Linked DNA regions of Styela clava. The protein of the gene in region 1 interacts with the protein of each later gene in a pairwise test. Links are inferred from orthologs where the notes say so. Each region holds a gene or a part of one and is shown on either strand. Other genes may lie near its edges.

Evidence for each region.
Region 2: the proteins of serine/threonine-protein kinase PAK 2-like (region 1) and SH2/SH3 adapter protein NCK1-like interact in a two-hybrid assay, tested with the Caenorhabditis elegans proteins (2 studies listed by BioGRID). The link is inferred for Styela clava from reciprocal best matches to the Caenorhabditis elegans genes pak-1 and nck-1.

What each region holds. Positions count from the first base shown.
Region 1 is NC_135257.1:19,373,774-19,390,889, forward strand, and holds the start of serine/threonine-protein kinase PAK 2-like, read left to right. Parts: upstream 1-9,062; 5' UTR 9,063-9,224; coding exon 9,225-9,405; intron 9,406-9,931; coding exon 9,932-10,029; intron 10,030-11,325; coding exon 11,326-11,412; intron 11,413-11,969; coding exon 11,970-12,071; intron 12,072-15,921; coding exon 15,922-16,110; intron 16,111-17,004; coding exon 17,005-17,116. UniProt on the Caenorhabditis elegans protein: Required for hypodermal cell fusion, together with cdc-42 and ced-10, leading to embryonic body elongation, which involves dramatic cytoskeletal reorganization.
Region 2 is NC_135256.1:8,859,866-8,877,143, forward strand, and holds the start of SH2/SH3 adapter protein NCK1-like, read right to left. Parts: upstream 8,255-17,278; 5' UTR 8,165-8,254; coding exon 7,924-8,164; intron 1,223-7,923; coding exon 549-1,222; intron 1-548. Other genes in the region: DNA excision repair protein ERCC-5 homolog, read right to left, coding at 17,111-17,278.

The DNA.
Region 1 (17,116 bases):
AAACATCTATCAATCGACCGAGAACATGGCGGTTTTTCTCGACGTTTTGGTTGTGCCGACGAATAGAAACCGCGCGTCCTTCATCCAACTGTGCTGCAATATTAACATTTCCGAATGTTCGGTATTTTACTGCATTGTCCAGATGCTCCATAGTAGATTGATGATCCCTGGCATGCTCGGAAAGATGTTTAAGATCTCTAAAACCAAATTTACACCAACGTGAGTCACGGGCGGTAGCAAAAAGTAGGCAATAAAAACAAAAAAGTGCATTTTTGTCCTCGCTGTAACACAACCATTCGTGTTTTTTATACCAAGTTTCTGCGCAGAATGTACGCCGACGCTTTCCTCCGTCATGGGATTGTTCCAGTGAACAATTTTTTGGTTGATAAGGCCCAAGACGTTGTACCTCTAATTTTTGTTCCAGCGGCAGCTGCGAAAACGGAGTCCGAAAGGAGCTCAAAAGGAATGTGGAAAATCGAAAGCAAATGGACTAAAGGTCTCTAACTGATTCAAATAGCGAAACAAGCGACAAAAACGAAGGCGAGGAAACTATCAACTCTTCAAGCAACCAATGAACGAGAAGGAATGCGTGAATATGTCAACACGTTGTTGTAAGAAACGTCGGCATTGTGTTGTCTTAATTTCGGGGCTAGCCCCGATCGGCCCCGATGATTTAGTAAAAGAAACAGAAAACAAACGAGACAAACGCGGCGAGTGGAAGATAAAAGAGAGAATACGATATACAATGAGCAACCGGGGCAAAATCGGCGTCGCCCCGTCGACGTTCGGCGAAGGCTTTGCGAGCGAAAAATGAACCATGTCGGGAGAATATGGCTAGTGTAGACAGTCTGTGCAACCGATATTGAGGTATTTTTCGAATATTTTTTATTATACCGAAAAAACAACCGGGGCATTGCCCCGGTTAGCCCTATTGACGCGCCGCCACTGCCAATTACTAACTTCTTTTAAGTCGGTTGAATCGGTGGAGGAAGAAAATTCGATTACATCCGAGGTTGGATCAATCCTGTTGTCATGCGGAGTATGTCCAAGAATGGTCGATTCAGGTTGTAAATCCATTTGATCGACTGGTATATCCGGGTTTGTAGTGTAGGTTGTACGGCGCGGTTTCTTGGAAGCAAAATGCTCAATAACGCGCTGATTAAAGTCATGCATCCCAGAAATAACGTCTCTGTGAATGGATAAAACAGCCAAGGAATTTAATCTATCTTGCTTCATTGTGTTTTTGAGATACATTTTAATACGCTTCAGCGTGCTGAATGTTCGCTCTGCGTCGGCGGAAGAAATAGGCGTCGTCAAAATGATGTCCAGAAATTTTGCAAACGCCGCAAAGGTAGTTACTAGAGTGTTATCTATGAGGAACCCATAGAGCGCGCAAGTTGATGTGATGTTCAAAAAAGTTTGATTGGTGTATATACATCGCAATTCATTTTCCAATTTACCCACGTTTATCATGGGGTAAAATTTGGAGACAGTAGCCAACAAATGGATGGGAAATTGACGTGCAAATTTTGAAAAATTTTTGGGGTTCATCAAAGAGAACGCGGCAAGGTGTTCAGTGCGCAGACGATCGCCTATTTGATTCACCAGAATGTCACAGCATTCCTTTGCAGACAAAATCAAACGCTGCGTTGTTTGCTCGCGGCGTAAAGAAGCACTCCATGTGTCGTCGTATTTTATTGTTTCCCGGATACGAGATACAGCATCGCAGAAGTCTGAAATACACGACTGCACAGACGCTCCATCCATTAGCCTTGACTGCAATGCGCCGTATAATACATCCACGTGATAGAATATTGTGGAGAAAAAATGAAAACTCACCATCTTCTAGCAGACGCTTTAGACCTGCCGCCTCCCTCACAGAGCGTTCGTCCCAAACCGGAGAGCTCTGAATGCCATTGAAATACTCAATGAGCTCAGACCTAATTTCGGACACGCCCTGCACTACGCGTGATTGGAAGTTCCAACGTGTTGGTGCACAAGCTGGGAGACGGCGGCTACATATCTGGCGAAGGAGGTCATAGCGCTTCGGCGAAACGGAAAAAAAAATGAAGAAAACCCCGAAACATTTGCAAAAAATATACGGACGAGAGGGGTATCAAGACACATATTTTTAATAACGAGGTTAAATTGGTGTGCATAACAATGTAAAAAATGCGCATGAGGAAAATCTTCTTTTATATAAACTTGAACACCATGTTTCGACCCACTCATGACTGCCGCGCCGTCATAAGTTTGAGCTATCAATTTTGACTTCGCGTTGTAAGGCTGTAACACTTCTTTCAGTACAGCCGATATCCCGCAAGCCGTGCAATCAACGATTGGTACAAAGCTGTGAAATCACTCGGTAGGTTTACCATCTTTCACAAACCGAAAAATCACAGCCAGTTGGGAAACGCACGTGATGTCAGTTGTCTCGTCAGACTGAATCTAAAGGAACTGGCAATTCTCAATTTCCAGAGCCAAATGTTGTAAATAAATTTTATACATTGAGTCGAGCAAATCATTTTGGATTCCTTAGATGTCCCTTTCGAAACAGTTGCGGCATCAAGATGATCTATCAATACTGTATCTAGGAATGCGATGTATTCCACCATATCCAAAAATACCCCTCTATTAGAAGAGCCAGCCCGTTCATCGTGCCCACGGAGGGACAGCTCGTGACAACCAATGAACTTCAAAACATCTATCAATCGACCGAGAACATGGCGGTTTTTCTCGACGTTTTGGTTGTGCCGACGAATAGAAACCGCGCGTCCTTCATCCAACTGTGCTGCAATATTAACATTTCCGAATGTTCGGTATTTTACTGCATTGTCCAGATGCTCCATAGTAGATTGATGATCCCTGGCATGCTCGGAAAGATGTTTAAGATCTCTAAAACCAAATTTACACCAACGTGAGTCACGGGCGGTAGCAAAAAGTAGGCAATAAAAACAAAAAAGTGCATTTTTGTCCTCGCTGTAACACAACCATTCGTGTTTTTTATACCAAGTTTCTGCGCAGAATGTACGCCGACGCTTTCCTCCGTCATGGGATTGTTCCAGTGAACAATTTTTTGGTTGATAAGGCCCAAGACGTTGTACCTCTAATTTTTGTTCCAGCGGCAGCTGCGAAAACGGAGTCCGAAAGGAGCTCAAAAGGAATGTGGAAAATCGAAAGCAAATGGACTAAAGGTCTCTAACTGATTCAAATAGCGAAACAAGCGACAAAAACGAAGGCGAGGAAACTATCAACTCTTCAAGCAACCAATGAACGAGAAGGAATGCGTGAATATGTCAACACGTTGTTGTAAGAAACGTCGGCATTGTGTTGTCTTAATTTCGGGGCTAGCCCCGATCGGCCCCGATGATTTAGTAAAAGAAACAGAAAACAAACGAGACAAACGCGGCGAGTGGAAGATAAAAGAGAGAATACGATATACAATGAGCAACCGGGGCAAAATCGGCGTCGCCCCGTCGACGTTCGGCGAAGGCTTTGCGAGCGAAAAATGAACCATGTCGGGAGAATATGGCTAGTGTAGACAGTCTGTGCAACCGATATTGAGGTATTTTTCGAATATTTTTTATTATACCGAAAAAACAACCGGGGCATTGCCCCGGTTAGCCCTATTGACGCGCCGCCACTGCCAATTACTAACTTCTTTTAAGTCGGTTGAATCGGTGGAGGAAGAAAATTCGATTACATCCGAGGTTGGATCAATCCTGTTGTCATGCGGAGTATGTCCAAGAATGGTCGATTCAGGTTGTAAATCCATTTGATCGACTGGTATATCCGGGTTTGTAGTGTAGGTTGTACGGCATTTTGGTTGACTTGTAATTCCGAAACTTGTCCAGATTGTGTAGCATTTTGTAAATCCGAATTTAGTCCAGGTTGTGAAGCGCTTTGTAAATCCGAAATTGGTCCAGGTTGTGAGGCATTTTGTAAATCCGATACTGTTGCAGGTTGTGAAATATTTATTTGATTACTTGGTTGTTCCAAATGAGGTGGGTTTTCTGATAGCTGTTTTCGACGTCGTGGAAGGGTCCATGTAGAGCAGGAAATCGATGGAAATTCTTTTCTTCTGGATGGACAATCTTCTAGAAGATGACCCAGCTGTTTGCAGTAGCGACAGACTGGTTCGCTTTCGCATTCGGTGAAGTTGTGACCGGATTTCAAACACCTACCACAGGTTGGCACGTATAATTCCCTGGGCAGGTAAGTTTTGCAGCTTTTCCCGTCGATGACCAAGTAATCTGGTAACCTGTCCTTTTTGAAATTTTCAATAAAAAAGGAAGTGTATCCGTTATAAATGGACGTACCTCTGTACCAGTTTCTGGTGGCATTCCGGACTTTTCCGCACTGCAGTCGTTCGATTGTCGACACGGCCTTGCTGTAGGAAGTTTCACCCGGTATCCCCCGAATGGATATTCGGACTGGTGCTTCGGTTGGCAGCGATACCGTAACAGCGTCTGAAACTCTTATTTCACCCTTTGTGTCGTGCAAGAATTGCTCGCCACAGCTAGAGTTGGGGTCGTCGGTGGCGGCAAAAGTACATATCCACTGACCTTTTCTTCCCTCAAACAGTCCCGTGATGTTGTCGACGTAGTTTCGGGACGCTGAGTCGGTCTTGAGGATGTCGAACAGTCGAGGGAAGTCCAGGTCTTTGGTGGTTGTCAGGAACAGAGTGCGAGGTCGTGTAGTCGGTGCAGTTGTTTCTTCGCTTGTAGGTGTAGGCGTTGTTGAGGCGGCTTCGGCGTAGTTCATCTTCTTCTTCCTTTTCTTCTTGCTTCGTTGCTGTCGAGGGCCTAACCCGGTGAGGGGTTGCCTTAATCAAAACAGCAACAAACAACGGGTGACTTGCAAGTTCTGAGACAATCTACGAAATAGCAATATACGGTAACATCACATTCATCTAACAACCATTTATGCTATAATGGCAGCCATGCCTTTATCCAACGCAGCAACCGTTGTTTTCTTTTAGACCGGAATTCCTTTCATTATCTGAACGTTGAAAATTGTCGTAATTAACCAAGATTGTCGTCATGGGTATTGAAAAGTTTAGTTCATTTGTGTCATCATAGTCAAATTTATTTTGTAGTAGCAATGAATGATGCTCTTCTTTTCATTCTAATTATTAGGGTGAAAGTATTTATTTTTGCAAAAATAGTCTTGTTTTCTTGTAGTTTTTTCCTTGCATGAGAAAATTGGTAGGCCACAGAATTTTTACGCAACGAAAGTGCGCCACGAAAGAAAAAAGGTTGAGAACTACTGGACTCTAGTTGGATTGCGTGGGGGTTTGAATCACTGTACAAGGATTCTTTGAATGATATTTTATTTGTCGTACCTTTTCCAGTATTTCAACCGCGTCGCGCCGAAACCTATTTTTTCAAGAGATTTCTTTGTTCACATGTGAAATTCGTGACTTCTCCATATTTGAAGATTGACCCGTTGTGGGCGCTGAAAGATTATGAACTCTTCAAAAAGTAGGTCGATTGATTTATACGGATTTCGTAATAAAACTAGTGTATTAGCAGACCGTTCCATTTCCCATTAACCGTATTCCCTGAGTAAAACAGCAAATATTTGAGCTACCAATTATGGTGATTGATTACCATTTGCGATTCAGCCTACATTTAAATGGCCTGGCAAATGATGTGGATAAGTGTCAATGAAGATTTCAAACACTTTTGTCATCATTTACACTCACTGAAGCTATACATTTGTTTCATATTCAAATATTCCCATAATAATAGGTCACGAATGCCGTCAACCTTATAAGCTTGTTTCGTCGACACAAGCTTCAATCATCTCATTGGCATACTTGAGCCGTAAAACCTGAGAGTTTGCATAATCACACGCAGACGAGGTTTGGCGTGACGGTCGGACTGAGAGCGGGGGTAAAACAAGGTTAGTTTGGTTACGAAGTAGTAGCCTGTAGGTTGGTGAATCGAGGATAGGTAAGTTGAGGGAGCTGGACAGTGGGTCGAGGATGGAAAGCTTGCGGGAGATAGGGTAGTGGGTTAAGGAGAGGATGATAGGTAGTGGGTCAAGGATAGAGAGGTTGAGGGGGAGATAGGACAGTGAGTCGAGAATAGAAAGGTCGATGTACATACGGATTGGGTCGAGGATAGTAAGGTGAGAGAAGCAGGACAGTGTGTTAGTCGGGGATAGACAGGTTGAGGGAGGAAGGGCAGTGGGCATAGCATAGGAAGTTTGAGGGAGATGGGGCGTTGGGTCAAGGAGAGGAAGATAGGTAGTGGGTCGAGGATAGTAAGGTGAGAGAAACAAGACAGTGCGTTAGTCGGGGATAGGGAGGTTGAGAAAAAAGCGTAGTGGGTCGAGAACTAAGGTTTAGGGAGATAGGACAGGGGGTCAAAGATAGAACAGCGGGGCGAGGACAAGAAGGTTGAGGGAGAGAAGACAGCGGGTGGAGGATAGGAAGGTTGAAGGAGATAGGCAGTGGGCCGAGTATAGAAAAGTTGAGGGTGATAATCTAGTGGAGAGAATGGTGAGACGAGGTTAGGAAGATTGAGGAATATATAGGGCAGTGGGTCGAGAATAGAAAGGTTGCAATTTCTGCGGTCGCTCAGACACTTCTGTCAATCAGACAGATATTCAAGTAAGGTTGTAAACATTGCTTCGTTTTCGTAGTTCCCCTGGGGATCTTTAGTTGCAGTTGTCATGAATAAGGCTCGCAGACAGCGGTGGGATCTAGCCGGTTCGCACCGGTTCTATAGAACCGCCTTACGGAATTTCATGAGATCAGCGAACCGGTTAGCATTACTGGTTACACTCAATGACTTTTTGTAATAGAACCGGGAAGAAATATGATTTTTGTGGTGGAACCGGGTGACAAAAAAATTGATCACCCACTGCTCGCAGGGGGCTGCCGAAGTATGCGAACCAAGATGGCGGACATCGGAATGTAATATGTGTACTAGGTTAGGGTTAGGCCATAATTTTAGGTATAAATACTACGGGAGGCTCTTGGCTAGTCTTCGAACTGATAATAGGACTAAAATAAGGAAAATTGGAAAAAAATTATGGCCTAACCCTAACCTGTTACCCATATTACGTTCCGATGTCCGCCATCTTGGTACGAATACTTCGAGAGCACCGCTCGCAGACTATGCGGTAGAGACTAGGCTAAAATTAGCTATTAAGATTTGTGAACGGATGATTCTGATACAAAATTTGGTTTCAAAAATGTAAACCAGTTTATAAGATCTAAAGCTCTCAAAATTTATTTTGCGAAAGTATGAAGATAAATTTTCTGGGGCCGAAGTTTGGGGATACATCCATACGTTATCATTATATTATTTTCCATGCTTATTTTGAAAGGGTTTTCAAGTTCCGGCGTGTGCCGACAGGTTGAGCGCTTCAAAAATACCATTATATTTAAAATGAATCAGACAGCTGTTGTTAAATAGTAATGACAACTGATGTCAGCGTCGTCTATTCTGGCCATTCATTTTATTTATACTTATATTTTGGAAATATAATCAAAACCTGAAACTACATAAACGAGAATATCTATCGGAGACCAAAGACTTATCGATCGAAAGTTAGGGGATTCCCCCAAAACAGAAACTGCATTTTTGATTCATCCGCTCTTACTCCATAGTGACACCGTGTGTCCGATAACTAATTAATTATTTACTCGTCAATTATACGACATAATTCACCCAAAATCAATAGGCTTCTGATCCAAGATAAGATGAATGCACATGCAAAATTTGAAGCAGATTCAACCTATCTTCCGTGTGATATCGCGTGTATCTAACAGACAGACAAACAAACAAACGAGAATATCGGTCGGAGACCGAAGACTTATCGTTCGAAACTGCGTTTTCGATTCATGACCGAATAGTGACACCGCGTGTCCCATCACTAATTAATTATTAACTCGCTAATTATACGCCATAATTCATCCAATATCAATAAGCTTCTGGTCCGAGATATGATGAATGTGCATGCAAAATTTGAAGCAGATTCAACTTCGCCTTCGTGAGATATAGCGTGCATCTAACAGACAAACGTACAAATACCTATCAACATACTTACCGATCTTAAGGTCGATAAGTAACAAGGCAAGGTTTACAATCGCGCTTGAAGATCTATCTAAGTAAAAAAAAGTGCCTGGTCTGCTGGATAAATTTCATTTGTAACGTGGTGACGAACTTTAATATGAAAATATGCCATTTTTAGGGGAAAACACAACTCGAGGAAAGCGTATGTGGACGTGCCGTAAATATAATACATTTTCACGAATTAATTGCGTTCTGGTTGTTACGATTTTTCCAGCTCAACACTTGCAGTAACCTCTACTATACAAGTTCATTGAAAAATAATAAAGATACTTGTCATAGCATTGTCATATTCGTCGATAACGGAGCGAAACAAATATTCTTTTCATGTCGATGTTCAAAACTTGGTTGTTTGTATGTAACAATGAAAATGCCATATTCATTTTGGATGAGCGAACACGTAATACTTCTTTTATCAATACCTTTCCAACTGAAATATGTACGCTTCGAACCTTACATAAGGTTTTGTTTGCTCTCCCGATTCTATAATCAGCTATTTCCTTTTTTGTTTTTATTTATTATTTTATCGTCTACTGCTTCTTATGGAGTCGAAATAAACTCGAGATCTGTGTCCACAGAATCAACCTCAATAAAAAATAGTTCGGTCGTAGTGGGCGGTGTTTAGTACGTTATATTGGGAGGTGCACCTGCCGTCTGCAGTTCCAGACTCCAGTTCCTCGCGATTCAGGGCCCGATTTATTCTTGTTTTTGCCAAGTTGGCACCTGTTATGCCCTGTTTTGTAGTCTATTTCTCCCAAATTCCAATAGATAATCGATTTAAAGGTAATATTGGCTTTGTTTATAGCGCCGGTATAATAAAAAGGCTGAGACGTAAGGTTAAATAGTAGACTAAATTGACTATCGCCGTGAGCATCAGCCTTGGCTTAGTTCTGTCTGTCTCAATTCTGCACTTACGGTACTGTACCACACCCTGACACTGACCGTAACTAACTGGGCAATTCTTTGTTTTTCAGATTGTTAACTGGGTAGTGTACGGTAATAGGACGTTGCTACTTTATTACAACTGGACTCTGGATCTCTTTTTAACGTTTCTTCATAGTGCCGTACTGTGCTGGAAGAGAAAAAAACATATTGGATATTGGAACATAGAATTTTTTTGAACATTTTAAAATCGAAATGTCAATGAATTCCGATGACTCCGAGGACAGGCCCCCAGCACCACCTGTCCGACATGCCAGTGCCGCTCATGGAAAAGGAGATTTTGCAAGTCAATCTACAACGAAACCTCTCCCGTCCCTTCCAGAAGATAAAAAGAAGAAAAATAAGCTAAAGAGTATTTTTGTAGGTGAAGATAAAAGTAAGTTTCCATTGTTTACCCCAGTTTGTGTTTTTGCTGTTTCGCTCAATTACAGAATTATTTGCGAGTGCATTCTATTTCTTTTGTTTTATGCTTTAAGGTTATGCTTGGCCTCTACAATTCACCATCTCCAATGTTCAGGAGCTTTTCAAAATAAACTATCAATCTACCTCAAACTTTGACTGTTATTTTGTTTTGCTTTCGAATTAACACTTCTGTGCACTAACATTATACAGTGATAAGTTTCATGAAATGTCAATTTCTATGTGTATAGATTGATCCATGTTGTGCAATAAACTTCATTACGCATGTTGTTTTGTAAATTGGACTAAACTTGTATCTCTGTATACGATACGCTCGTGTTATGTTGGGTATTTCAATGATTTAGCCTAGTCAAGATGAAATATCATCATATTTGATATCTATAATACATTGGTATTATCTTTTATATACTTATCATTTGTATCATCTTTAAACATTTAAACACATTTTTCGATGCCTATTTATCAAACTTTTAATAATTTAGATCGGAAACGAGACCGTGAACGACCAGAAATATCATATCCTCAAGATTTTGAACATACAGTGCATGTCGGTTTCGATGCAGTAACAGGAGAATTTACTGTAAGTTGAAGTCAATGTTGTGAGATCATGATCGCAGCTGTTTTCGAGATATTCAAATCTATTAATCTATAACAGGCAATGTACCCTCTAATTTTTTATAGTATGTGTGCGCAGAAATTTTGGTGTGTGCGCACTTTTTTGGAAATGACCAATATTTGTGCAAAAACCTATGAAGAAATTTTGGCGTTCTAACCGGATAATGGGTAAGCCAACAACAAACTCAACCTGCCAACCGAGAACATTGTTACATTATATCGAAATACGTCTGTGCGCAGTAAATCTATGCATGTGCGCAGCCTCTGAAAGCTGTGTGCGCGCGCACACGCTCACACCTTAGAGGGAACACTGATAACATGGGGTAGGCAAGATTTTGGGACCATGGACCAAATATTTTGCCCACCTAGACAAAAAGGGAAAACAATTATCCTTGTACCAAAACTAAATTTATTCGCAATCTCAACAAATCTCTGGAGCTATTTTAGCTAAAACATCAAAATTTGGTTTAAGTTTGGCTGTGGCATCCTCAGACGGATCCAACGGACCTGATTTGGCCTACGGATCATAGTTTGCCCAAGTCTGATCTATAATGTTCGATGTAGCGTGATACCAAGATGTAAAAATAAGAAAATTTGAAGCTAATCTTAGCAAAATGGGCATCAAATTCTTTACTTTTTATCATTTTCACATCATTCCACACTGGGAATGCTTGAAATTTTATTTTCTCCAGTTCACCAAATGTTGCCTATGTATTACTACCATGGATAGCGATTTGTGGCTATAACTAGAGTTATTGACTTGACTTTTTGGCTTGAGTGGAAAGTTCTAAGGCAGACATTTTCACTGCTGATACGAAGTACATAAAGCTCAAGTCTGTACTTCAACCATTGTGTTATGCTCATCTACCGTATATTCCAATATGGTATATATCTAAGCCAATACCCCTAAAAACGGCCCTAAAACATGGATTGATAAAAATTAACATATTATCAACCTTACAAATTGTTACATGCTACTCATCACTGCAAATGGTTGCTTTAGTGCGATTAAAGTTACGTGTGTAACAAGCCAAATTTTTAGTGCGCGAAAGGTATGCGCGTATAAGCCAAACTCCCTAGTTAGTTTCGGCTTTTTTTTTAGTTTAAAACTCTGCTTATATACAAGGATGTACGGTAAGTAGACAAGATGAAGTTTCGTTCTGTTGTATTTCTGAAGCCTGAGAGGATTTTAACCGTTGATGCCAAATTCAGGATAATCTTAATGACATTCACAGTGTTATTTGTAATTTTTTCTTTCCAGGGAATGCCTGAACAATGGTCAAGATTATTAAAAACATCAAATATCAGCAAAACAGAACAAAAGAAGAATCCACAGCTGGTTCTCAAGGTATTCAAATTTCGGAATTCTCAATCTTCTTTGAAAACTTTTTATATTTAACATAATTTAACTTAACTTTATAATGTTGATTTCTCAATACTTTATATTGTAAGAGCGTACTCAAATTGGAAATCCCAATCAATTGTGTATGTTTTCAAAACTGTTAAGAGCATGAACATTATTTTAAATTTCAAAAACCAGTGAACAATAATATAAGAAAGCCTCAAGCCTGGCGGTTTCACATTGTTTTTGGCACATCTGGATTATTCACTGTTAAAGGATTTCAATGATTTGCTTAACTGCTCATCTGTTACGAATTCCTCCATCTTCAAGTCTATGTATCTGGAACAAATTAATGATTAACCGTTACCATACCCGACATGTACTGGTAGCCAGATGAGATTCACCGTTTTTCTCCTGTGAAATAAAAGTGAAATATTCTAATATATTCAAGTCATTTGTTGCCAATTTGTTGTAGTAATGTAGGTTTCTTTAAAACACACAATTTTTGTTCTATAGTCGCCCAATTTGTATGGAATTTAACACTTGTTTCAACTTATTTTCAGGTTTTACAATTTTATGACATGACAGAAAAAAAGAAAGGAGGTGGAAATAAATATATGAAAATGACAAAGAATAGTTCGTTCGAATCATCTGCAGTATTAAAGGTTTGTATTATGGTTTAGTTTTTAAAAAAAATTTAAACAAATTTAATTTTTTATCTGATAAAGATAAACAGTGGTCGGCGAAGTTTTTTAGGTGAGGCGAATTATTGGGGAAAAATTTATATTTTTGTGTACCTCTGCCATAATTTATTAGCCGTCCACCAGAAAATGCTGGCTGGCTTACGTTAGAGTTGATGAAACTAATTAAAGTTTTGATGATAAAGTATTTTTGATCCAATAAATTTGCCACATTGAAAAAAATGGGTATGATTTTCCACATTTATGCAATGATGATTTATGTCATTCTGTTGCTATGCTAGCATGATATCGCCTTGGTCTTACACAGGGATGGCCATTTCCGAATACTAAACTATTCCGAATACATTCTAAAATAATGTTTTCGAATCTGGAATTCCGAATACATTCTAAAATCGAAAATAACACACTTTTTTTAAGTTTATTAAAACCCAATAAAATAGGGAATAAACTTCAAAAGTTATACCAGAATAAAGCCACAAACCAACAGTATATCTACACAAATTAATTGATAGTTTATAGCTATCAATAAAAATAATAGCATCTTGTGACACAGTCAGTTTATTAAAATTGTACACTTAGTATAAATGACCATATGGAAAGGTAGCCAAGGAGTTGTCTGACGCTTTCTATCATTGGTACCATGATATTATGATGATAGTCAAGTTTATTGACAGAAATACTATTTGTATTCAGATGATTGTGTATATTTTCTGAGAGTAGTAAAATGCATTAGCAATACAGGCAACTGAAACAAGCAACAACAATCTAATATCCATTATGCCTTTACAAATTCTAATATTTAAGCCTACCAGTATTCTACTACCTACCAGTATATTTGTATATTAATTCATGTGAACCATATTGTTATTATGTGTAGCATATCGTTATATCTGGAATTAGCAATAAGTTAGGATGTAACAGCCACCGCATTCCCCGCATATGTTAAAAATACATATCGCGCGATTAAAAAACCGACTTTTACAACGAATAATATAACAACGAATACTGTATATATTTTTCTGTTGTGCAAAGTGATGAATTCGTGACCGATACGGGCATATTTAAAATGTCTTGCTTTATTAATTTAATTGCTTTCAATTTAACCTGCGGTTGCGTCGACAAAATAAAATCCTCACCACTCTAATTTACCATGACAATCGCGGACATAAAAATAAAAATGTGTGGTAAACTGCCCGATTATATATTGTTTTGATCCGTATTTTGCGAATTCGGCAAATTTGAAATGTGTAACACTGACTCCGCTCAATCGAAATGCCGCCACTCCGATTATTTTTAAGATAAAACCGTTCGAAAAATCCATAAATCTGCCGTAAAATCTCAGACTAAAATTTATTTCAGCACAATAAAAATTGATTGAATATTCTTTAGATTAAATGTATTATTATATACATTCTCACAATACGGTAAAAGTCGCGTTTCAAACCTTGTATAATGTTAACACAAAAATTTTCGACGGCAATTTAATTAAAGTAATGGGTAATCAGGCAAATCCCGCCTTCAATTAGTGATGATATGTTTCTAAACGCGGACCAAACATATCTTGGAAATTTTGCGATTTCCACCGCCTAGAAAAGCGTTTTTTAAACTGTCGCGGGCTTCAATGAAACACATTTTGTTTACGGTTTTATTTTCAGTATTTTAAATTGCCGCTTTTCAATATTTGCGTTTTCTTTAGAAACTAGCCGCCGATGAACGTATTCACCGGATTCACAATTCCGCGCGAGTACAAAAATAGATAATTGTCATCGTTATCGTGGAACAAATTTGTGGAATACTTGCGTTTTAGAGAAAATAACACAAGCGTAAAGGCGTTTACGGCCTGAATAATACGTCTCCTGATAAAGCAATCGCGAGCAAGTTTCTATCGAGAATGTTTTCATTTAACGGAAACGTCTTGAGAGCGGCGTCGAAAATGTGTGACGTCACACGAAAATCCGATATTCTTATAAACGCTAATTCCGATATTCGAATGACGAGATATTCGAATACATTCGAATACTTTATTCGAATTGGCCATCCCTGGTCTTACAAATATTAAATTCCATAAATTCAGTATTATATGAATTCCAGGCCTTTTATGCAATTACTTGTGACATAGAGAGCCTTGTCATGTCATCCAAAATGTGAAATTTTTCCCCCATGCCTTATTTTCACAATTTGCCACACGTCTTGTACGTCCTCTTGAAAAATCTCGTTATATGTCGGTATTACAATCAGTGTCAGTGATATTTCTCCTGTATTACTGTTCTATGTGGGATCTCACTGTTTGTTTAACATTCCCATCACCTAAGGTTGTGGTATGATTCATCTTGTTGTGACTGTGCTATAAAACATGACATTTTAATTTCTTTTCCTTCTATGGTATTAATTAAGACAGCTTATGCATATGCAAGACAATGGCCTTTCTTTCCTCTGGTTATTTCAAAGGTTGCAAAACAAAATGGCTAAAGTTGACATTCATTGGAAATGTTATTTGCATGAAGTATAGGGTGTCTGAAAAGTTATTTAAAATTGCAAAGGGAATTTATCGATACCATATATTGTTTTGACCCTCAAAGATGTATTAAATGAAGTAAACATACTTGCACAATTACTGAATAAAAAACAACAAACCTGGACAAGATATATTGAAAATTGACTTTATAACAAAATTGAAATTGTAGAGAGACTTTATTATAAAGAACTAGGTGCTGTTAAAGCTGGTATCTCATTTACCACAGTATTTCAATAAAATGTTACAGTTTAAAAAATCGTTCTCCTGACAAATTCAAAAAAAGGGCCTTTATAAACCTATTTTAAAACACCATTTCCAGGTTTAGCTCTTTTGGGTCAAAGCCCTTAATTTGTCTTAATGAAATATTAACTTGACATCGATCGATGCAAATTAGCTTTCCGATTTTTGCATATCAACTGTTCTTAAAATTTTGAATCTAATCAGTGGTTATATGTTTAGTTTCACAACACTGTTTAGTATAAGGAAGTTAATCGAATTTGCTGCTACTCCTGTGTTTCCTGTTAATTTGTGTCCATATATTTTTGGATTTTAGTTTGAACATTTGTTTAATTAGTTATATTCCAATAGTGACAGTATTTCCAAATTTATTATGTAATTCTAAATTATACAAAATGCCAACACAGACATTTAGAAGACATACTATGGAAATGTTCTGATATTTGTTAAATAAATAATCGAATGTAATTCAAAAATCTCAGCAAAATGATGTCCAGGCATGCATGTCATGCGAAATCAACTTTTTATTCAATCATTGGTCAACCATTTGGCTCCAAGGTTGGTGCATCTTTTTAAAAATTGGGATTGCCATTAAATGAGAGATTGCTCTGCTAGGTATAACCCTTCTAGATTCCTCATCGTATCAACGTGGTTTATTACTTATCGATCTTGAGGTATTTGTCTGTTTGTTTTCGTGGGAGGATGAATCTGCTTCAAATTTTGCATGTGCATTCACATCCATCATATCTCGGACCAGAGGCTTCTTGATTTTGGATGAATTATGCCGTGTAATTAATTAGTGGTGGGACACTTGGTGAGTCAGAGCGAAAGAATCAAAACCGCAGATTGATAAGTCGGCGGCCTTCTATGGCTATCTAGTTTGAACACTTGTCAGTTATGACAGCCTTCACCAAAGTTCATTTTAACTATTCCTATGCTGACATGGACTGTCAACTGGGTGAGAGGCCTTGGTTCACCATATAATTGAGTTTTCTGGTCTGGTTTCCCTAGTGATAATATGAAAATCATTTACTCTGTCACCCTCAAATTTTCTTTTTTTAGTCAAGTGGGGGTGCGAACATTCCAGCAATAAAAACGACGTCCGATACAAATAATTGGAGCACTACAGAATCGACGGCTCCATTGACAGCAAATGAAGAGGACATTGATGAAGATTCTGTGAATGAGGAATCTGATGACGACCTGGAACCTCCTCCTATTGTTGCTCCTAGACCTGAGCACACTAAATCGGTGAGTTGTCTGTGTTGTCTTCGTTTGTAAATTTTTGCATGGTTTTTGGTGATTTTTTTTACAGTTTTTCAGTGTCAATTTGGCTTCGTTGGAATTGAGATGAAATTTAATATTGTATTATTACATGTGTGATGTGTGTCCTTCAAGAATGCACATATGATAAATAAAATTTCTATATGCCTTACATTCAAATTTTATGTTGTTTGATAGAATTTTTCATTTATTATGTTAAAATACAACCTTGAAATGAAAACTTCGATTCGCGGATACAAACACATGCTTCCACACTTGCCTATGTGTGTACATTCGGTAAATTTGTATAATAGAATGTAAGCTCAAAACTTGTAAATATGTATACATTCACACTTTTACTACGAACGCTGTAGACTTCCACTCTTTGGCATTTGATCAATTCCAAGCACATACTTTCATATTACGGCATACTGGTGTATATGCCTGTATATATTGCATAGGTCCACTCCTGTGTACTTTTACGCTTCCTCCTTTGACTCATATACATGTATGTACATCCATTCTATAGCGTGTAAGCTTGATCTGGAAATTCACCAGTTGTGAACAGTTTTGAAGGTTTATCATTTTGAATTTTAGAGCATTGTTAAGCTACCTGAGCCTTGCTAATAGATCTTGATAATTTCGTATAAAAATTTGCCTTATTTTCACTTTTCTATCAATTTTTGCAATCTATTTAAAACGTTTAAAAGTGTTCGTTGCTTTGCAAAAGTAACACAGTACTCAAATTATTGGAGCATTATCGAAAAATTCTATTTCCAACTATGAAACTGCGATTTTGACATTCAAAACTTACAACTTTAAAACTATGAATTTCAAAACTCTTTAGTTTGATATTAAATTCTTCTACTTCATTTTTCGTAGATATACACTCGATCTGTGATAGAACCACTAGGTGTCCCGAATCTTCCATCTGCAACAGGAGGCGGTCATGCGCAACCAGGTGTGAACAAACAAACAATAGAAAAGCAGAAAA
Region 2 (17,278 bases), on another chromosome or scaffold:
ATGTAGTTTCAAATTATAACTTGTATATAAAATTGGGTGAATATAAGTTTGACAGATAATGAAATAAATAAGTAGTGATTTGAATATCAGTATTTAGTATTAACAATACATATGTAACACACTAGGCATTGTTCAATAAAAAAAGATTGAATTTGTAATACTGGTAATCAGCGGTCAGCAGGTTCATCTGTAATATAGCCATTGCACAAGAGAATATGAAAAATTAACTAAGCGTTCACTCCTTTCAGTTTTTACAGAACTTGAAAATAAGGAATATTTGCATTGGGAACTTCGCAAAATTTAGTATAATATATTCAATCTGGGATTCTTAACAGAATGGTAACATGTTTATATCAAAAATATTGAATAGGCAATCACATCAACGCATATCAAAATTGTATATAAAATTTTTGAAATTAATATCACCGGTTCAGCTAAATAACAATTTACAGTAAGCAAATTTCTTCCCAACTCTTAAAATTGCAATTATTGAGTAATCAATAAATTGGTTTTATGTTTTGTTATAGATATTACAATTAATGTCTCACCACAGAAGGAGAATTCCCAGATGATAGGTCTTGTGAAACGTCATCATAATTAGTTACTTCTGGTAAAAAGACAGAAGGAGCACCAGGAACAGCTTCAATATAATTCCGCGGTACGAGACCAGTTCGACCTTCAGCATTTCGTGCCTCGTACCATTCCGGATCACTTTCTGGTTTGCTTATGATGTCAAACATATCTCCTGCTTCAAAGGGCAGCTCTTCATCATTACCAGAATTAAAAGGATAAAGGGCTCTGGCAACTTCTAATACTGGTTTTGCAGCACTTACAACTGTGTTTCCTGATACATGATTATTATGCATGTCCCCACCGCTAGGCTCCATACTCTCTTCAACATAGTTCGAAGGGAACCAACCAACATCACCATCTGTATTTTTACCTTGCCACCAACCATCATTTTCTTTTGAAATTACGATTACACTCATTCCCTTGATAAGACTGAGTTCGTCTTGACGAGTGGAACTATAGTTATATTTAGCGACATATGTTTCGTCCATTGTTCTATCGTGAACCGCTGTATTTGAAAATTTCCTTATTCCATCACCTTCTGAATTATTTGTGCTATTTAACCCTAAGGGAGGACGAGATGATGGCACTGAACTTCCAGTTGGTGCTGCTCCTCCACCTTTTCCTTTTCTCGTGCCAGGAAATCTATTTGCTGAAACAATGAGATTAGATTAAAAATTAGAAAGCAAAAGGTGAAGTTGGAGGAATGTTTGCATTGAAAAAACTTTCCTCTCTTAGATACAAAATTTTTTTGAAGAAAGTAGCAGAGAACTCCCGGATTATTCTGGTTTAATGTAATACCAAAGAATTAAAGTGATGAGCCTTCAACATTTGAAAACAAAAAATTATATTCATATATTCAAGTAAGCTAAGTTTAGACATATGTATCCAACAACATATGTATTTGGTCACCACATTTAACAAATGAAACTTGCAGTTTTTAAGTTTATAATACATAACCATGCTTCTTAAGTGTTAAACCAGCTGTGCCAATGTTAATATTATGTGGGATATTCTATATATGATTCAATTTACATTTTAGGCATAATCTGTATTCTGTATGTAGAATACTATTGCAAACATTTCATATATGCCTTTCTGTTTTTTGTGGCCCTTTGAACTTTAGAACAGCATATTTACCAATCCTCCCACATTCATTTTATAGGGGTATTACAAAATATTCCAATTCATTGTTTCATGTACTTATGTTTTTGAAAGAGATTGGGGATGCTATTTGAGGATTCTTGGTGGATTGTGATGCAATAATAATTATGGGGCTAATAGTTCACAGGTTTTATTATGAATCACATACTGAATAAGGAGAAGTAAATCTGCAATAAGGTTTCAGTAATAGCAGCCAACGGACACATTCAAAGCAATCTGCTATATGTATATGGCCATACCTTATCTAAAAAAAACAGAACAACAAAGCCTAAATTACACTAATATCTGCTCAAATTAACTCCACAAATATTGCTCATAAAACCATTATAAATGAACACCAATATACATATATCTAAATCGAACAACATATCAGATATTGAGATTAATCGATAGCAATAATATTTAGTCGAATTTAATATGTGTACACTTATTAATGGGCTTATGTCAAAATGTTAATTATTGACAGAAAGGTTAATTTAAAGGGTACTCGCATTACCAAAAAATACCCTTAAGATGGGCCAATGGCTCACAAATCCCTCATTCCAAAATACTCACAAACGTTCAAATGGTGATGTCTAGTACTGTCTAATCTATGCAGCAGCAGTGCAGCAGTGTGCAGTGCCTATTGCATATGTAGCATTCAAGGGTATGAAATTTTGTAAACAAACAATGATCGTTTGTACATAGTTTTCATGGACTGGCATTTCTAATTCATTTAAAATTCCCATTAACTTTGCATGGAAAATCTTTTCATTCAAGCCATTGATTATAGGATACAAATTCAAGTTTGCAAATCAGTTTAAGCATTTATATATGATAAAACCATTGCCATTGGGTTAACCAAAAAGCAGGCTTCAATTAAACACAAATATGTAATTATGCATGAATGGAATTATTTTGTTCATCCTCTGGTGCTAGGTAACCGTTCTTCAAATGCCATTTACATATAGCAAATGCTTAGGCGTAAGAGAAAACAGATGTTTAATCATCCAATTACGCTATAATATAGTATGCATATCAATAAACTTTATGTCATAGGAAAACATATCTAATATGTCTCAGACAGACTATAAAACCGCAAAACGAACGCTGTGTAATAGTCCTATCGATCGAAAATTAGAGTCCCTGACTTTGCATGACCCCAATCAAGCTATATGAGCAACAACCTTCATGAAATGGTATCGATATGCGCATTAATTTTAAGCCCAGTGCAATAGGGAAAATAATTACTGTAATGGTACATTGAATGGGCATCTTATATAAAATTCTGAAGAATCGAGTAAAAGCAACGGGCATAGGGGCATTCAAAAGTCTATTTACAACCGGCTATTACCGCATGTAACATATATAAAACATCATACAAGCACTCCAATTTAATTTACAAAAGCAATCTAGCCTCGGCAATAGTATAATAATGCTCCTAACTAATGATACAAAGGCGAACATTTTTATTGACGAAACCACCAATCAAATAAAATATTATGGAAGACTTTCACAATGTTTTAACCTCAATTTTGGAAAATACAATTTAAATGACCAGCTGTAGTACAGCAATGCATACTAAAATACGATTCAATTGTTTCAAGGAACCAATATCACCATAGTTCAGGATGTTAGAAATATGCATTGCGCAGTGGCTAAAGGTAACATCCGAATATGCACCTTACATCTCATAAGCCTACTAAACCTGTCGTTAGGTCTAATGGCTTCCTGTTTTTATTCATAAACAGAGGCGCGCAAAAAAATTGATGCTTGCCGTTAAAACCAATAATTGTTCCACGCGGGTTAAAGTGGCTCTTTTGTTGTTCGCGCTTATTATTTCTGACAATGCTTGCGAATCAATCAACCGTTTCTTAATAACAATACAGTGAAAATCTCAATTTCAATATACAACGATACAAACAAAGTTTAAATGTTCTAGCCAGATACCATTATTGTTATTATTATCACACCAATACGCAGATACTTCAAAATATTAAGTTACGATGGCCGACTGATTACATCATGTCTACACATTTATAACGCTACATAACTGGCGTCAGAATATGAAATCATCAAACTTAGGAAAAATCAAAATATATTTCAATAATGATTTTTTTATAGTATTGTTTCAATTTACTCTCGGTAAGATTATCGATAATATTTATATTGAAAGTTTCCATATTTATTATTTATATTTATAACGTTTCATGATATTGGTAAAATCGACAGTCAAAACAACCCGCCGAGACAAAATTGTCAAAACAGCCACATAATAGGTGTCTGATAGTCATACTAAGAAGCAAAGAGAAACAACGTCTATCCTCGTTTTATCAATGTAACCCCTTTACGAATCTGTCCTCATTAACAAAACAGCAATATAATAATATGATGAATAATAATTAACGACTATATGCCTAAACATGTGTCGTTTTTACACTAACAGAAGCATAAAAACCAATTACTGCGGACCCAAACTGTACGACGATAGTGAATCGTATCAACGAAATTATTTCTGGGCTAAGATATCGAATGATAAGCCGCCCATCACAAATTAACAGTGTAGCTACTAGCATTACCAAAGCCTGTAGATTGGGCCACTGAATCATTAGGTCATATTTCAGGAAGAAGGCGTTGCATTGTTGCATCATAGCACGCATGATGCGGTACTTCCTCGACCAAAAAGTTGATTATAAATTGACATAGTCGATATAAATAATAACCCGAACAAGGCACCGCAATTCAGAGAACTCTGCCACAAAAAAGGATGCAGAAATAGCCTAAACCGTGGTCGCGAGTATGGGAGGATTTCATCTTCTATATGCTAAATAAGGACAAAAAGACACAATAATAGTACAACTTCAACACGAGCATTAACTTAAGTATAGTTTCAGAGTATTTACGTTCGCTGGTCATATTCTGATTATCGATACCCCAAATTTGACAAGTATGACGCCAAAACATCGCCAACAGATATATCGTACAATATTTTTTGTTGATTTAATCAGCGTCATTATTAGTGTATAAAGTATAAACCATGACACACGCTCATCAGCCTTCACTCGATGGCGCCGTGTATATATATGTACGTAAACACATCATGAAGTGGAAGCATTAGACTGAATTGACGGACTTTCCAGAGCGATGGAGGATGAAAGCCCCACTCATAACGTCTTGCACTTCGCCATGGTCATGAATGATATTGAAAAAAAAAATCGTTTTCGTAAGACACGTTAAAATTCACTTTTATTCTAATATTATAATATTATTGCGTTAATCAACATAGCGCGATTACAAGCTCGCGTGCCGCAATTCAGGGCAATTAGAATAATTGAGCGCAATGCAACAATGCATTGCGATGGTGGACAACCATATTCGTCGATTTTGATTTCACAACCCTCGTACTTGTTCCAGCTTGATGCAGGTCGGTGACACATTGTGAATAGTATGTGGCAATGTCAGCCAGAAAAAGGCTTCGGCGTATACATGCCAGATACTAATGCCTTTATGTAGTAGTGACGTACATGGCAACAGTTCAAAATTAGATGTAGACAAATATTTACAAATCAAAAGTCGTGCAATAACACGATACTACTGTATTGCAATTTATATCTTGTCCTGGGCCACATCTGGCCAAGCATGAAATTTAATCTTAAACGCTGTTGTAAGACATCTCTAGCGGTCCCACGTGACAGAAGTAATTAGGACGCGTCCCTAGCGTCTACGTTATACATTTTCTATTCTTTTCATACTTACGACACCAATACCGATACAATTCAGGCTTGAGAAACATGAAACGGCGGACATATCAAATTGCTCTCGGAGATCATATTTGGTCGGATTTGTGATCACCTTACGCTACATGACCACAACCATTGAACTATACCGACAACAAACGTTTGGCTAGCAAATCATATCAGAAATTAATTAGCATTTCAGCTTCATTTTCAAAAGTAGAACTTCTTCGATCTGGCTGGTAAATCACATTCTCAAACATTAATAATTTATTTCGAAAGATGTCTGTTAAATCATTGTTTTAATTTTTGGTGTATAATAAAGTGTTTGGAATTGACGCACTTATATCTAATGAATACTATAAAAGTATGGAAAACGAAATGATTAATTTCAATTTGTTATTTGATTAAAAATTTAGGCGAAATATCGGGCGGGTTCGAAAAAGCAGAAGCAAGACTTCTTCACTATACTATCGTTTCTGAATGTTACAAAACGGGATGGAATTTGGCAACAATACAGACTAAAAAAACAGAGCGACTTTATTACCAAAACAAAAGGGTATGTAAAAGCAATGAAACGAAAACCACTTAGTTGATAGCCAAACGAATTACACATATATGACATCGAATCGACTGAATAATTTTAATAAGCGTGCTGAAATGAATCGATTTTGATATGATACAGACACATTAATGGTATTGAAGCATAAGAACTTGCATATTTTCGAGAATAAGTAATGTGATGAGATTCAACGACGCGCCTCGGGCTGTAATTGCTTGACATTCGATTTATCTACAGAATTCGCACGTTCGAAAAATAACTCAACTTTGTATGACTCCGTATAATGCGCAAGGAGCGTATATGAGACCGGTATGGTTTGGTTGGCAACCTGTTGTTTATTATTAAAAGACGAATTTCACACGAATAGTATAAAATGCACTCTAATTCAATACATTGCAACTGGCTTTCTGCGGACCGGACTACGCAGGATTCATGCATTTCAAATAAATCTTAAGAATATTCAATGCCCATCCACGCGGATGCGGCTCCAGTTTCTATATATTAATAGGAAATTAAAATCGGGAATAAAATCTGAAATGAAGGGAGTAAGTAGCCTTGTTATCCCAAACATCGGGTTATAACAATCTCAAGTTATTGTCATTTCATTCTGATATCCGACAAATGCGCACCAACTCATGAACGACATGGGAAATAGAGTGTTTATGATTGAACAAATATTTCTGCAATAAATATAAGTTTGTTTGCTGAAGTTGTTTGATGTGTCTGCGTGTCGGAGCCTGAAGTAATTCCGTTACAATCCCTTATTTAAATAGTAAGTAAATGAGTTGGATATTACCGACATTGAGACAAAAGTTTTGCTTATACTGCTGTGTACTATATTGTAGGTGTGGCAATATAACGCTTTACATTTAAAATAAAACTCCGCTCCATCTAGAATCTTATCTCGGTGAGTACAAGTCCGCGAAAAAAGTTTGTAAAATCCTTTAATAGTTGAGCAACGAATTCAGTTACATTTTGCTTGCGCGCCAAAGGTGCGCTCAAACACATTAGCAAATTCTCAACATAAACACAATCTACAACGACGGCTTCAGCTAGCAGTCTCCGGTGACCAGCTCAGTGTTATGAGAATAATTGAATTGCTGTAAAAAATCTCTGTCTGGCCAAGTTTAAGAATAGACGATTTGGCCATGAAAAAACTCAATCCTCTTAACCATACTATCAATGAACACTAAGCGACCGTGGACCACCGTTCCTCTTATGCCATACCTCAACATACACAATGTATATATTACTGGGATCCAGGAAGCCCAAAGAAAAATCGACAATGATGTTCGCCTTTTCTGCATATTGTATTGTAGAGGCTCCTTAGTAACATATGAAAGGATGACTCAGACATAAATTCCAGGCCTAAGTAAACTACTTGGCAATGTTTGTTAGGCAATTTGTTTTTACATTGTATCTCGGGGAAAACAATATCAACGTTGGAAAAGGAAACTAACGTGAATGCCATATATTGCAGTTTCGCAATATGACCAGACGAATCCAACCGCGAATTGAAATATATAACTTGTCGCATATTCTGCGATAAATTACGACAACGACTAAACTGATATAGATCGGGAACAGAACTTCGTTGCGTTGTTACTAAAAAAATCTAAGGCGTCATTTTATTTGAAAATAAGCTGAAGATCACGGACTATCCTTTAGGTTTGGCGTAAACTATATTTCATCGCCCCGTCAAAAAATAAGCACCACACGACGATAGAATATGATATAAGAAACATTTCCTTCTATAAAATCCATTGAAATTACTCCAAGTAAACTTTGATTCGTCCACTCAACCAGAATCAGAAGTCATGGTACAATGGCCAGTTGTATAAACGCCGTTTCACAAAATGAACATGGAAATCTTCAAGTAGGCTATCACACCGCTCAAAACGACCACCATCATACCTTTTGCTTTCCTTCTATGATGCTTATACCTTCTTGAATTTCTTAGTCGACAGTCAGCGGTGCGTTTTTCCAGGGGTATTTTGCGTCTACCAGCAAGAGTACAATGTGCAGCTGCTAGGTGACAGCTCGGAAGTCGGGACACCCCGAGAATAATCTTGCAAGGAGCGTCCATAAGGCTCATCGTCGCCATGTCCGTCTGACAATCATATCCACACAGACAAATGAAACCCCCCAATGGCATTAATATTCACATAGTAGTCGCCCAGGAGCGAAAAGATCAATCCCTATACTTTAACGCTTATCTCCGCCTAAGAAGATCTCGTGAAAGATAATTTCAAAAGCTAAAGTTTAAAATACTGATGATTATGTATATTTATCCATATGCAAATGAACTCACCATAAGAAATAAAATACATTAAGTATAGAAATGTAATTAATTCGCATGTAGAATATTTAATACCGTAGACATGAAAATTTAAAATTACATTACTGTTTCAAATATATTTTTTTCACATTCGATTCATCGGAATTACATGTACGGTAAATATTTAGCTTTTGAAATAATGTGCAGTTAATTCAATTGTTATCGAAACGACAATATAAAAAATTCCGAAAGACGAAACCACGTTCTACAAACAATTCCATAACCACACAGAACGTCCTCCTCGATACTAATCGCGACACGTGCTAAATATAGAACATAAATGTCTGATATTAGTTTGCTTAGGGTATCTTCCCTATCCTTGAAATCCAGAGAAAACAAGAGAATTTATTAGGAGACTTTGAACTTTACTCAGGAATTATTGCTATTTTTATTTTGCTCCATGTCACCTTATCCTAATGTCTGAATAGATGTCCGCCTGATTGCTAATTTCCACAGAAACTTACAAAGAACATCGAGAAATCTTCAATTAACTCCTATTCTGAATTTGAAATATACCAACACGCCTGAGGTGATATGCTCCAATACGCAAACATTTGCCATTTTATTGTCTTGCTCACCAGCCCTACATGTTGGAAAGTACTACGAAGTGAAAGACTAATTGCTACATTCTCACTGTTAAATTGCCATTCAAGACAATAAACATACATTTCCGGATCGCTAATTTTCGTTAAATTTTATTGCTCGCGTACAACATTCGGTTTTGCTTTTACTAATAAAGATTAGGCTTGTCTGCGAATGTCCATTGAATAACACACGGCTGAATATGGACAATAAAATAAGTGCTATTTACAGCGGAATACATTTGTGACTAATCTTCCACATGCAATAAACGTGAGAAGCTTTCAGCATTGTGAAAATTTTAGCGTCGAGAACAGGCGCCATCTAATAAATAGGTTTATACATTTAACAAGATATATTAGAAAAATTGGGGCCATGCTAAAACGGAACTAGAGACCGTACGGAGAAACGCGAGCGTAAAAGGGATACGATTGTAAACACACAACAATTCTAATGATTTTAAATAATAGTTTTTAATTATAACCGGCATTACTTTAAATACATTTGTCGATATTAAAGTTGAAAAATCAAAAAGTATTAAATATTTATTTTGATTGATTTCACGTCTGGAAGCATTGGAGTTGGCTTCTATCGATAAAATTTCCTGGCTAATATATTCCTTCAATAATAATTTATTTTCAAAAAAACCCTTTACAACTAATTTATCGAATTCGGAATAAATCCAAAATACAATTTTCAATGATACCAACCATCTGTAATTTCTAAAGCTTAGTATCAGGAAGTTTTCCACTAACTTGAATAACGACTATCTATTTTATTGAATCATCATCAGTAGTTGAACATCTATATATTTAAAACAGCGCCTATTTGATTTTTCCTTGAAAATATCACAAAGCTGTTTACACTCAAACATGTCTTTCTAAATGACCTCATCTGTGAACCTGGCAGTGGATTCTGAGACCTTGGCTTAATTTTCAAATTTAAATAATTGTACTCACCAAATTTATGAATAAAAGACATTCTTCTATCTTCTTATGATATAATGTCCAAGTGATTGTGTTGACAATAATACAATTTAATATATAATTCTGATGGTTTAATCCAAATATGACAAAAGCTTAGCGCATTTTATACTAACAAAAGCAAACAAGAAAATAATACAATAACAATTGTTCAGACAGAAAGTGGGCCATTTCAAACCAGATTTTTCATGTTTGGCAAATCAATTTGGAGCATAAAACAAATTGCACCTGAAAGTAGTAAACTATATCTCTATATTATGCTATGTTTAACTGAATTCAATTGATTAATTGTTAATATTTCATATAGCTATATTCATTTTATGGGTATTTGTTGTGTTATAGATGTCATGGCCAAACAGAGTACTAAAATAGTGTCAATACAAATTGGAATCTTCACAGTGAACATGCACCATGTATTCTTATTGGTGTATTCATATAAATTTGCTTATGCTATTAATTAAACCTTAACAATGGATTGTTCATTAGTTAAATATTGCGCTATAAATCTGCACATCTGTCATAACCTGGAATAATCATACAATTCATATATAGATTTTGCACAATTTCAATAGTTCTATCAATCCTAACAAATCTGCCTATAAATCCTCTAAACTTAAATAATAGCCCGGCAAACTTGAAACTAAAGATTTGGTCCATTTAGGCCCTCCACAAAAACGGAAAAGAAATAGCTTTAGACAAGCCCGTATCACATTCAAGTACGATAGTTACAGAAGGTTCTGTATAATTGCCAAACATAACATGAATATGGCATTAAACATTCTCAGTTTGTGTTTCTATGATCCAAGATGAGTTGACCGCTTGTTATATACCGGTAAGTACTGTTTCATATAAGTACCCATAAAAATATAAAATTATGAAGTACAATATATTTCATATAAAATGAAAAAGAGCTTATGAACTTGGAAAAATCTCACATTACCTAAAAAGGCCCATATGCTCAAAATTTGATCAAACTGGCATCATTTTCATACACTACGATTTTGAAAATCTCCACTTCTAGTCTAGCTTTATCCTCATTATTTTTTTTGAAAAAATCAATCAACAAAATGAACAGCACACTACAATGTCTAGCTGAAATGGTTCTATAAATTAAGATGCTGCTGAGCTGCCTTTGAGGAAATCTAGGCTATTTAATTTAATACTAATAGTTGAACGTTCCTGCAATAGCAATTCTAATAGTCTCTGAACAATGTCCGGTATATGTCACTGCGATATCACAAAGCAAAGGAAGTAATATTGGAAGGCTGTACTGCTTGAGACGGTCAATTAGTCAGAAACTGAGTCACCTATAAACCGGTTTTAGACTAAAAAGGAGTATTGAGAAGAAATTGCATGGTGTCATTTTATAATGAGTTATCTTTATTGAAATGTGTCATGTCGAAGTGACGAACGCCTATTATTTTGAAGAGACATGGTGGAAAATAGAAAGCAAAATAACAGAATAAACTGCAATATGTCTCTTTTTATCATCTATAAAAGCATTCAACTTGTTGCTTATACAATTCAGTCAGGTTAGACAGTTTTTTGAATATGTCGATAGTTGTGATGCATGAGGGTATATGCATGATACCATAAGTGCGTACTACTGAAAAACTGATAGAGTTACGATTATCTGAAATTGTACACAATCTAAATATTGCAATATGATTGCAGTAATAACATAATAGATCCTTCAGTAAAGCAGAAAAAATGTTATCTAGTCACTCTCACTAGTCAAGATTTTTCTAGATACAATAAATTTATTTATTAAATCAGCCTAACAAATTACTAATTTGTCCTGTCCTTTCAATAAACGCCTGCATACTAGTCTGCTAAAATAAACAATAAATACTGATACGAAATAAATAGTTGATCGAGATTGCTTCTGACGCATAACTTGTGATCTCTCAGTGCTTGATCAATTGGCAGACACGCACACACACACTACCAACCAATCTAATAATATAAAATTACTTTTCTCAAGAAATTTTGATGGTGACAATTTAATTTATATTGATTTTAATTGGTTTGAAAAGTTCAACCATGACTGGTATATATTCTATTTTAGTGAATAACTAACATATAAAAAGCTAATGAATTATGACAGGTTATTATTTTTCAGAAAGACCTCATTCTACAGTTAGACTATATTTAAAAATTGATATGAATTTTGTTAGTCAGTGAAATGTTATGATAATAGTAGGATTTAAAACCCTTTTCTCTGCATTCTATCAAATATATTTCAGATGAATAATATGTTTTGTGACTGGCGGAATTGCGTTGTAGTCCAAGTAATACTAAGTCATATGGGGTAAACCTATCTGATATATCTATTGATTTATCTTTATACACTATCCTTAAAATCAATAATATATTCAATTAATACTTATCTTGTTTATACATCTAAACACAGAAAATTGGTAGATAAGAGCATCAATTATTTCTGAGATAAGTATGGATATGTTATGTTAGTATTGGTAATTTTGGAAAATAATGGTTTTTAATAAAAATAAAGCATCACATAAGCAATACAAAAAATGCTGGCTTATGATATTTCAATACATATATTCTAATATAATATTAACAGTATTAGTCAAATTGCAGGTTTCTATGGAATGGCCGCATTTGAAAGCTATTTAATTGTTTTTGATTATAATTAATCAACTTGACACAACTGGGAGACAGAATATGTTTGACAATGAACAATGAAAAGTAAAAAATAAATGTACCTATTCTATTGACGAAAGATTCTCCTTTGCATTTTACATAGTTTGATGGTACTAGTCCAACAGTCATCATCTTATTTCGGACCTGAAAAGTGAAATAAAAAACTCAGTCACGACAAGCAATGGAACACTTTTCAGAACTACATTACATTCATCTCAATTTTTGAATGTGGACTCGGATCATGCCCAACAGTTATAGAGGTGAATTAGATGTTTCTTATTTCACATAGCGAATAATCAAAAGATTGCTGTAAAAATTAATATTAGCATATAGCTGAGTGATAAAGAAATATCGCAACTCAGCATTCTGACATATTACGGCAGTTAGTCAGTGATTATAATAAAATTGACGTCTTCAACCCTGTTTTAAAAAAGAATGATCGATCACATCAACAACACAAGGCTTTTTGGTGCTTTCAGTCAATGATCATGAATAGAAAATTTATCAAAAACGGACACATGGATACAATGTGCCCATTTCATACAAATCTAAAAATCCCACCTTGTACCAGGGTCCAGTGTTATCCAGAAGGGTGAGTTGTTCATTTTTTCTAATGCTCAGTTCTTCTTGATCTTTTGCCTGATAGTCATATAATGCAATTACCATATCTTCATTTGGAGCACTCATAATGCATGTGTTTAATGTTGCCTTAATGCACTCAGTGCCAAAACATATACAACTACATAAAACCTACATCGAAGACCTTAAAAATTCAAAGCAGAAATTTTAATTTCACTCTTTTGTACTAATGTGATTACTGGCATGAGTGCATTTCCAGATTTCTAGTAAAAATTCGATCAAAAAAGTCAATTTGTTGGGACTCGTGTAGTTTTGTACCTAACTTACTTCTAGTGGGCGTAGCACAATAATTTTTTGATATGTCAATCCTAACCCCCATCTGACTAAGCCATCCAAAAATTATGTCATTACAATGTCACAATCACGTCATAGAGCTTGTCGAACATACGTACGTTCGCCCAAAATGGCATCAGCGCCAACGATAAAAGACTGACTGACGTCATTGATTTCTCTCCTATTGGGATCGTTGCAATGAGAAAACGAGAGAAATAGCTGTTCGTTTTCTGGTGCTTGTCTTGGTTGGCAGTTCGTATAGTTTGAAAGGCTCTATTACGTCACTGTGATGTCGTAGTGACGTAATTTTTGGATGGCGTCAGGTGGGGGTTAGGATTGACAAAAAATTGTTATGCTACGCCCTCTAGAAGTAGGTACGAAAGTACAAAACTACATGAGAACCAATTTGTATATACCTGTTTAATAAGCAAACATTTTAAAAGCATAACATAAAAATGACATAAATCTTAGCCAATAAGTAGGTCTAGTTAAATATACTCAAAAGAACAACATTCTGACATTCACGAGAAACATACATCACTAGATGAATATTTAAAATTGTTAAATGTGGATTTTTATATGGTAATCGCTAATGAATAGAAACAGGTGAACACTGCTAACACAGTAACAAGACTCATTAGTTCAGTAGTTCCTGCACATCAACAGATTACTAAAACCTGCATGACAGGGATCCCTATTTTTGATCTTTTAGCCTGGACAGCCTGGAAGCATACCGTATAGAGAATTGAAATGTATTCGAATAATTAATTTCTCAAGCCCTACAATACCTGAATACAGCAATACAAGTCTGCAAGTATCTATTTGAAATACCACAAGAAGGCTTTATACAAGGTTATACAGAATTGGGCTCAAGATTTATTAGCATTTGAATGCTGAGCTGAAAAAGAGAAGTAAAGTATTCGTCCTTTCAGTATGCAACTATTCGTCACTTGAACTCAAATATATCAAACACATTTTAAAAACAATTAGGTAAACATATTTGCTAATTAATACAGTAATATTACTGTATTGTGGAACCTGTTTCTGTTTGGAACCGGGAAAGTGAACTAGTATGAGCATTAAAGAACAGTAAACCAATCCATCAATTCGGCCGTTACGGTACTGATGCCCATCAGAACTAATTACACTTTAGGTCCTCAGACATTTTGTGCCGCTTACCAGCGCACCTCCACTTACCGGTACCCTTTCTTTAAACTTTGACAACGAAAGTCAATTGTTCTGTCCAAAATGTTAGACTCAAAATTTGGTTACGACAATTCATTTTTTATATTTATTACCAAGGAAAGACGACTCAATCACGTGACGAAAACCCCTGCCTCCTAATCAGATAATCATAAACCACGGCACCGTACCAATAGCAGAATAGTGGAAATAGTGCTGGAGGAAACCGTCACTGACCCATGTTTACTCAAGCCATGAACAAATATTAATAATAAAAAATAACTTTGCCGCAACCTCCAAATCCAATAGTATAGCAAAGCCTCACGATATAAACTCTTTTTGACAGTGAATGGACCTATCTAAGGAACTGCGTTTCGATGCGGACGCGATTGATGCGAGCTGAAGATTCGTTCGTGTACAAGAAGAAATCGCGGCTTCCGTGATTGAAAACAAACAACGGATTACAGAATTAGCGAATTTTTGACCGCAGAACTAGAAGAGCACAATGGGGATGCAAAAATATATGATATTTTAACCAAATGACTGCATGCAAGCCAGAAGATAAGGTTGTTCGAAATTAAGCTTGGACAACTCTTCTAAATGGGGCTGGGTCACTTCAGTGGGCTGGGTATACACATTTTTGTGTGGGCATTTTTATTGGATATGTCGATAATCGCCCATAGTTTTGTGATATTTAAGAACGAAACGGCGTTAAATGCTTGCATATTTTAATCTATAAATAATTTTCTCGTTCGTATACACGCCGCCTTGACTTATCACGTGCACAGCGGCTTTTAGTTAACTGTTTTGTAAGTGAGTAAATGACACGCAATCTGATCACAAATTGAGACGCCTGAATACTAAACCACCATGTTGTAATTTTCTTTCTTCTTCGTGTGTGGATGTTTTACTTTTATTTTCAGAGTTCGTTCACTTCTCAGATTCTTCGAATTAACTTTAGGCCTATTGTTCTATTTTTGCAAATGAATCGAAGTAAAATCTATCTAATATGTTGTCCTAGTTTCGTCACTCAATTATTTTAGACATTGTATCTGAAATTTAAAGATCACCTCAAACTTTTGCACTCGCAATTCCTACCTAAAGTTAGATAACAAATATAAACGCTAAGATTATACATTATCATTCGTACAATCTTTCTCTAAAGAATTGGCTAATTCCATCAGACAATTTAATGAAAAATAGAGAATCGTTTGATATAAGTTCTTCATAATCGTAGAAAAGCACATCAGAATGTTGCAATAACTCGGGTGTGTTCGAGTATTGTTGGGCGAACCTTGCATGGTTTTATCATGTGGCAAATTCAAGCACAACAAATGATCTTAGGCGAAAGTATTTTATCATATCTTTTCATGAGTGTAATCTTGATTTATTTAATATTCCGAAAAATGCGTGTCTCAATTTTTTGTACTCGACAGTTTTATTTTCTATTTAGATTTTTTATTTTTAAATTATATCGAAAGATATATTTTCAATATTCCAGGAACTGTTCATACTTCATTGTTATATTTTTAGAAAGTTTAAGATCACTTTTGAGTCTATATTTTTTATTTCTCATTAGACTTATTTCTATTTTGTCGCAGACTTATGATAACCAGTTCGGGTCCTTCTCGATTATCAGTCAACTGGAATCTGGTATCATGATGTAAACCGCTTTATCTTCAAGATGTTTATGATTCTTGCATGCTGAAATAAAGGTATTATCTAGGATCGGGAAACAACATCGGGCGTGAGGATAGATTCGAAATGTATCTGCTCAGATGCAACACCTGTGGCTTTGTCAACTGTCTGCGCTATTTCATAGCCACAGATTAAACACACGGGAACGCCCGATTCGCCATGAGACTAAGGAAAATTTTTCAGCGTTCCCGAGTTTCGTCTGCACGCACACTTGCATACATAATGATTCGGTCATTTGCTTCGTGATGTTGAATCATATAGCCTAATTTCTGGCACTTGGCAACGGGTTATAAAAAGCCTAGATTTTGGTTTAGGATAGGATTTTCACATTCCTTCCAAGGAAAGTCGGTAACACTGTTTAAATAAAAGGCGTGCCTACCACGGCCCCTCGTCTGGTTGGCAGTTCATGTCGGGTAAGGGATTAGTTAACGAGATGATACAGGATGACGAAGGAACAGTACGGTAACAGACTAGTCCAGCAATCATCTCGCAGATAATCATCTTCATATGATTCGGACCTACAAATCCATGCAACGTAATCAGAGGTTCGATGGCAAGCATACTCCTATTGCATGGTGCGACGCCCAACAGAAACTTATAGTTTACTATATGACAACGTTTATAGGGTTCATTTGTGTTGTATTTGAACATCAAACCTGTAACATGTATGATTGAAATTTACGTCGAATGTAAAAGCATACAGTTCGTGCAAAAGTAAAGATTGCTTCATTTTCAGGTTACTTTATTCACTGTCAGATGAAGATTCAGACAAATTTAATTTCTCCTCTTTAACAGCAGGCTTTTTCTTTCCCTTGGTCATTCGAGCCTTTTTTTTACTTCTTGAACTTTCTTGAACAATTTCAGCATTGCCTTTAAGAGATGCAACTGCTCTTCGTACTCTCTTGCTTTT